Linked DNA regions of Cricetulus griseus. The main gene of each other region encodes a partner of the protein of the gene in region 2 in a complex. Links are inferred from orthologs where the notes say so. Each region holds a gene or a part of one and is shown on either strand. Other genes may lie near its edges.

What was found.
Region 1: Prpf19 (region 2) and Ppie share a complex: the UniProt entries of both Homo sapiens proteins name them as parts of the XAB2 complex. The link is inferred for Cricetulus griseus from reciprocal best matches to the Homo sapiens genes PRPF19 and PPIE.

What each region holds. Positions count from the first base shown.
Region 1 is NC_048595.1:29,865,775-29,869,684, reverse strand, and holds the end of Ppie (peptidyl-prolyl cis-trans isomerase E), read right to left. Parts: intron 1,293-3,910; coding exon 1,150-1,292; intron 1,000-1,149; coding exon 931-999; 3' UTR 652-930; downstream 1-651. UniProt on the Homo sapiens protein: Involved in pre-mRNA splicing as component of the spliceosome. Combines RNA-binding and PPIase activities.
Region 2 is NC_048596.1:49,549,384-49,553,197, forward strand, and holds part of Prpf19 (pre-mRNA-processing factor 19), read right to left. Parts: intron 2,691-3,814; coding exon 2,535-2,690; intron 2,338-2,534; coding exon 2,268-2,337; intron 2,111-2,267; coding exon 2,025-2,110; intron 1,819-2,024; coding exon 1,648-1,818; intron 1,514-1,647; coding exon 1,408-1,513; intron 1-1,407. UniProt on the Homo sapiens protein: Ubiquitin-protein ligase which is a core component of several complexes mainly involved pre-mRNA splicing and DNA repair. Required for pre-mRNA splicing as component of the spliceosome.

The DNA.
Region 1 (3,910 bases), on a different chromosome or scaffold from region 2:
TGCCTGCTGTGTACACATGGCCTGTTATTCCTCATAAACATGAGCCAATTCCCCAGTCAGTACATATGTACACACGCACATATACACATATATATGTATATACACCCCCCCAGACACACACACCCCGAGAATACACAAATAACATGGTCAGTCACCAACTATTTGCTTCTGCCGCTGTAATGAGAAAGCAGCCACAGGCAGTATTCCAATATAAATGGATATGGCTGTGTCTCAATACAACCTCATTCACAGAAATCAGCAGTGGGCTGCCCAAAACCCAGGTAGCATGCCAACCTTCTGTCTCCTGACAAGAAGCCCAGTCCCTGGCAGAGTTGCCTCTCTGAGTCATAATATACCATTTAAAAACCTGAGAACTTACTGTGAATGTTAGACACTGGAGCTACTGAGGTCGACACCAGCATGAATTCCAGACACAGGCAAGAGGGACAGGTAGCTCTGATTCCTGCTGTCCTGACAGGATCTGACAGTGACATCTGGCATAAAGATACACTACCTGGCATGTAAGGAAATTAGCCCCAGGAAGGAACAGAAGGCATGGGAAGGTATTACACCTTCACAAACTTGCCATCCCATCCAGGGGACAGTTTAGCCGTGGATGTGATCGCTAATGGATAACTCGCAGGAACTTGCTGGAGGCAACAGTACAAAAAACAGTTTATTTTAGCAAAGAAGCCACCCAGTGGCTAAAGACCCCAGGACAGGCTGTGGCAGCACATAGCCTATGCTGGCTTTAAGGCCCAGCCACATCTAGAGTAAGAGCCTGGGCATTGCAGAGGGGCAACTAAGGAAGTTGACCCGTAGAAGGGCTTGGGTGACACACAACTGCTTCACAGGACGCACTCGGCACCAGGTCCCTAGAGGCCAGGTAGCTCCGTTCTTGTCTTACAGAGGTGGGAGCCGAGCGAAGCATCACATGTACTCTCCACAGTCAGCGATGATCACCTTCTGCTTGGGCTTCCCATCCTTGCTGCCCTGAGCCTTTGTGAACAGAACAGAGAAATCAGGAGAAGCACGGGGTTGAGAGCTAGCTGCTCAGGGGTCACCCTCTCCCAGATAGGGAACCCCTACAGGTCTCCCACTGAGGTACCCACCCAAGGTCCAGGTAGAAAGCTATTTGCAACCACCCACCTCAATCTGCCGTAGGACATCCAGGCCTTCGGTGATCTCCCCAAATACCACATGCTTGCCATCCAGCCAATCTGTCTTGTCACAGGTCAGGAAGAACTGGGAGCCATTGGTGTTTGGGCCAGAATTGGCCATGGAGAGAAGGCCTGGGAGAAAATAAACTCCTCAGCTCCCTCCATAATGCTCCCAGCCCAAAGTGCACACCCATGCTGACTGTTGGCAGTGCTTCTGTGCACTGGCTCGGGCTCCAGGACAGGGACCCCAAGGTGCTGCACCCTGTCTTCCTCCCCACAGAGAAAGAATGCATGGGTTGTTTCAAATTTGTTCATGTTTTGTTCATTTGTCTTTTCATTTAGAACAATGACTTGCTGTTTACTCTGTAACCAGACCCATTAAGTCCTGGAACACCAACAAGCAAAACATTCGTTTAAAATGGAATTGTACGGGTCTGGGAAATGGTTCTGTAGATAGAAGTGCTTGCTGAAGAAGCCTGACAATCTGAATTTCATCTCCAGAACCTATAGTAAAAGGGAAGGTCTCCTGAAAGTTGTCCTCTCATCTCCACGCACAAACTATAATGCACATAACCAGCACTCAAACACATGCACAATACACACAAACGATAAACACATACACATATTTTAAAGGTTATTGTGTTATGACAACTAAGAGGCAGGGTCATCTGTGCTGGGAAGAGAAGCTTAAGGCAGTCACATGGAGGAGGGGGAGATGCTGGGCCAGGAAAGGAGCTGGAGACAGGGTGACAGGGGAGGTGGATTCCTAATTCTTTTTTTCTTTTATGGGGGGGGGCATGGTTTCAAGATGGGGTTTCTCTGTAGCTTTGGAACCTGTTCTGGAACTCTCTCTGTAGACCAGGATGACCTTAAACTCACAGAGATATGCCTACCTCTGCCTCTCAGTGCTGGGATTAAAGGTATATGCCACCTCCACCCAGCAAAAGGTGTACACCACCATTTCTTTCTTTCTTTTTCTTTTTTTCAATTTTTCAAAACAAGGTTTCTCTATGTAGCTTTGTAGACAAGGCTGGCCTTGAACTCTCAGAGATCCACCTGCCTCTGCCTCCTGAGTGCTGGGATTAAAGGCATGCACCACTACCATTCTGTTTGTTTTTGTTGTTGTTGTTGTTGTTTTGAATTTAATTATGCTTATGTGTATGGGTTTTTGCCTGCATGTTTATCTATGGCTCACATGTGTGCCTGGTGCCAGAGGAGGCCATAAGAGGCTACCCTGAGACCGGAGTTACAGACAGTTGTAAGCCACCAAGTGGGTGCTGGCAGTAGAACCTGGGTCCTCTGGAAAAGTAACCAGTGCTCTTAACCACCAAGCCATCTCTCCAGCCCTTGAGCCCTAATTTTGGCCAGGCACATCTACTAAAACAGGAGACAAGAAGGGAGTTGGAGGGAAGAATGATTTCAATCTGTGAAGTCTAAGGGTCCTCTGCAAGAACAGCAAGTGCTCTTAACCACTGAGCCATCTCTCCAGTCCCTTAAGAACTACATATATTACATTACACAAACCCCAAGTTTTAAGGGCTTTCCCAGTGACGAGCTAGATGTGGTAGCACATGCCTATACCTAGCGCTCAGGAGGATCCAGAGTTCAGTGCTACCTTGAGCCACACACTAAGACCCTGTCTCAAAAAACAAAAATCAAACCAGGTATAGTGGTATATGCCTTTAATCCCCAGACTTGGAAGTCTGAAGCAGGCCAACCTGGTCTATATGACAAGTTCCAGGTGAGCCAGGGCTACACAGTGTGACACCCTATCTCAAAAACAAAACAAAAAAAAAAAAAATCAAGATCAAAACAAAGAAACAATCCAGGAATTACAACTACAATATAAATCAATGGAATCTCAGTCATCATTTCACAAAATAGAGTCAGCACCAGCAATATTGTCTGTAGTGTTTGAACTGGAAGCAGGCACATCTCTCTATTTTTAACTGCTGCATCTGAGTGTGGCACACAGCGGAATAACTCTTGTGTCTTCTGGTGTAATCGCACCTACTAAAGCACTCTTACTCTTAAAATAATGTAGACAGAAAGAACTTATTGTCCCTGTACTTCAGCTCAGCACAAGGTTGGAGGAAGAACACAAGGCACAGTGAACACGTTTCTATGGAGAAATCAACTGATCCCTGAGCCACCGCCATGTTGAGGAATCAAGAAAGGAGGAAGCACTAAGACGAAAAGGTAGTGAAGCAGGCAAAGCAACTGTAAGATGGAGGAGCCGGCCACCAGAGCAAGCAAGAAACAGGAGCACAGGGCTGACAATACAAGATGCCGCTGGGGGCAGAATACAGCAAGGCCTAAAGCTGGCGATGGTTGGCATCTATAACAAGAAAGGTCTGAGGGGCCAGCTGGGGCTAAGTCTAGATAACAGGACTTAGAACAAAAAGGCAGTGAGTCTACACATTTTTTCCTAAATCTTGCTGAAAAGTAGACTAGAGTCAAGATGACAGATGGTGAGAGGAACAAGAGTCCAAAGGTAATTTTTTTTTAAAAGATTGAGATTGCATGCCTGGACACTGATAGACCAAACTGGCTAAGCAAGAGAAACACATTATATAGGTCAAAGGGAGCCAGCAGAAGATGCCAACTTCCTAAGTAGGGCAGAGGGACAGACTCCCTCATGAGGAGGGATGGCCTCTATAACAGGAGGGAAGTCAGAGCATGTAAGCAGGAGGTGTCAGGAAGAAAAACAGGCATGGGACTGAAGGTGTGCGTACGGGGGTGCAGAGAGG
Region 2 (3,814 bases):
CCTGGAATGGTCCATTAGCCAGTTCTAGCTCAAACATGTCAAAGTCCAGGGCACACAATACAGGACTGGATCCAGAATAGAAAAAGCTGAGCTATCTTCCTCACAGGACTCAGATGGAGAACCAGGGCAGGTTCTTTCCAGAGTTAAGAAAACACCCGGATCTCACCAACTCTCCAGAGAAAAGCCCTCTTGTGCTCCCAGCTGGCCTAAACTCAAGGTGATTCTCTAGTTTAGCTATCAAAAATTGAGATTACAGGTGTGAGCTATCACACCCAGCAAGATCCCCTAAAGTTGAGGCTATAGCAGCTACTCAAGGCCATAGGTGACTCTAAGGTGAGAAACCCTCTTGTGCACCACTGTCAGCCTGACTTCCCTTTATTACTTCTAGTTATCCTTGTGTTGTAGTTATACTTGTGTTGGGGCTTGAATACTTGCTACTGTGGGAAAGGCCCCAGACTCCATCTCCACACAAAGGAAAACTGCCTAACTTGACTTTAAACTTCATCACTCACACATGATAGACCCCAATAAAGTTGACAAAAGATAAAAAAAACATGGGCTGGAGAGATGGCTCAGAGGTTAAGAGCACTGACTGCTCTTCCAGAGGTCCTGAGTTCAATTCCCAGCAACCACATGGTGGCTCACAACCATCCATTATGAGATCTGGTGCCCTCTTCTGGTGTGTAGATATACATGGAAGCAGAATGTTGTATGCATAATAAATAAATAAAATCTTAAAAAAAAAAAAAGATAAAAAACATGCCAGGTGTGGTGGTGCACATCTACTGTCCCAGCACTTGGTAGACAAAGACAGGAAGACCTCTGTGAGTACAAGGTTAGCCTGGTCTACAAAGTAAGTTCCAGGACAGCCAGGGTTTGTTATACAGAGAAATCCTGTCTCAAAAAACCAAAACAAACAAACAAAAAAACCTTCATTACTTCCCAGACTGGTTCTTTTTCATTGCTCAAATCAAGAGCCAATACCAAATAATATACCACAAGACACTGCTAACCTATGAGTTGCATGCACTTTCATGTAAACCCCTATATTTCCTACTGAGTGTTTGAAATTATCATTTCAATTTTCCTAAGGCACCAGAGAGATTACAAATTACAGAATTTGCTCCTCAACACACAACTTGGGAGAGGCCAGGTAGTAACACAACTCACAGCCAAACAGACTCACAAATGCTTTTCCTAGGCTACAATGCTCTACTGCCCCCAGACATAAGTAAAAGCAGCCTGGGGGTTGGGCTCAGTAGTAGGAAACTTGGTCAGGTTCCACTCCCAGGACAGCAAAAGTAGGAATAGTTTGGGCCTATCTAGGCCAAGCCCAGAGCTTCACCACCAAGTGAAGCTTCCTAGAGCAGATGTACAAGGCCCCGGAAAGCCACAGCCAGCCTCTACCTGTAAAGTGAAGAATCTCTGTCCACTGTTTGCAGATATAGATCTGGACATCTGTACCCCCAAGAGCCAGGTAGGTACCACTCTGGTCAAAGATCAGTGACTTCACCTGCCAAACCCCAAAGAAAGGCAATTACACAAATGTCAAGCCACAGAACAACTGGGACAAAGAGAAGCAGTTCACATGAACTCAGAAACCATCAGGGAGTGAGGACAAACAACTAAGACTGGGGAGGAGCGCACCTCAAAGTTGTTATCCAGCTGCAATGTCTTAAAGTTCTTCAGCTTGCGTAAGTCCCAGAGCTTGACTGAAGAGTCATCGGCTGCTGTGGCCAGGTAGTACCCATTCTCAGAGAAGGCGATACTGGTAATGGGGCCAGAATGGCCAGGGAAATTGGCCACATTGGTACGCTCCTACAGGTGGTGGTTGGACAAAAAATTATCACTTACGGGTTAAGATAGGAAGGGGCTTACCAAACTTCATGTCCTGTGCACCCACAGTTCCTTGGTGACATTACCATGCCACACAAACAAAGCCAGGCTTTCCTAAGCCTTGAGAAATCCTGGGGCCTGCTGACACACCTCATCAGTTCCTTCTCTAAGAGGCCTGCATGTCCTACCTTCAAGTCCCAGATCTTGATCTGGGAGTCCATGGTTCCTGTTCCAAAGATGAGCCCATCAGGATGGAACTGTGCACAGGTAAGAGCTGAGGAAAGGGGACAGGGATCTGTAGTCAGTAGTCACCGTGGCCTCTACACTGGTGCAGTGGTAAACACTGTCTTTAGAACAAATAAGCAAATGACTAAGTAAAACTTAAAGACAAACTGCAAACAAAAGAGTTCAGTGCCTCTAAGGACACTTACAGCAGCCGGAAGTCTCATCTGTCACCTTGGTGAGCACGCGCCCTGTCTGGATGTCAGAGAAGGCCCAGTACTGGAGGTGAGACAAAGAAGCCAATGAGTAAGCAGGTCTGGTAGCTGAGACCCTGATTCAGCACCTACTGGCAAAGATAGCTCCCACAACAGGGAAAAAACCTTTCCAGAACTCTGGGAATCTGGCTGCCCCAGCAAGATGGCCCTTCCTCCCAGGGTGAGTAGGCAGCCTCCTCAGGGCCCTAGCTGGGACTGTACCTGATCATCAGAGGAACTCAGGAGATAGTCTCCAGTAGCATGGAGGCTGAGGCCTGTCACTGCACTCTCATGGGCTCGAACAACCTGTACACAGGAGGTGTTTGGGACCGACCAAATCCTGATAGTCGCATCTGGGGATGCAGAAAACACCAGTTCCTGAAAGGAAAGCAACCAAGAATCAGATCCTAGGAAGTGAAATGTACTATAACACCCTTTTCCACAGTGAAAAGGACAGCCATAACTACCAGCAACTGCTTCTCCTTCTAGTCCCTCTCTGCCTGTAACCACCTATCTAAACAACAGTGCCTAAGAAAGCCAAGAAAAATAAATGCTGCTGAAATGGCCACACTGAGCCAAGTTGAGACCCTCACTACTTAGTAGTAAACAGGGCAACTGCAGCTGAGAGCTATTTTTGCCCCCTTTTAAAGCTGGGTGGAACTGAGGGACTGGAATCATGTGCACCTGCAGCTAAAGACTACTGGACTAGATGGCACAGATCCGAGCAGACTGAGCCTGTAAAGGAATATAAGGTCATGTTCCCATGTTCCTCACACTTAGACCCAAGGGCATGTTGATTGTCCAAAAGACCTGGGGCAGACAGAGAGCTTATTTAGTTTCCCAAATAAATTATTTCCACTAGTTAGGACAGTAACAGCCAGAATATAACAGCAACTATCCTTTCATTAACACATACTCATAAAAGCCAAAAGTAATACTAACAACGAATAAACAGGAAAAAAAGTACTTCAATTTGAATTAGTTTTTCAGTTTGCTATAGCTGTGATGGTTTGAATGAGAATGGCTCATATATGTGGCTGCTTAATCACCAGGGAACGGCACTATTTGAAAGGATTAATAGTGTGGCTTTGTTGGAGAAGTATCTCATTGGGAATAGGTTGGTTTTGAGATTTCAAAAGCCCATGTCAAACAGTGTGTGTGTGTGTGTGTGTGTGTGTGTGTGTGTGTGTGTGTGTCTGTCTGTCTGTCTGTCTGTCTGTCTGTCTCAGCTACTGGCCCAGTGTCAGGCTTGCCACCATGCTCCCTGCCATGATGATAATGGACTAACCTCTGAAACTGTAAGAAGCAATCCCCCAATTAAATGCTTTCTTTTATTAAGAGTTGCTGTGATCATGGTGTCTCTTCATAGCAAAAGAGCACTAAGACACAAATAGTCCTCTATTTCTCAGTTCCTTAAGTCTAAGAGAAAGACTTAACTGGGAGGCACTGTTTCAGCACCCCATGCAGCTGCATACCAAGCCACAGTACTCAACTCTTATGAG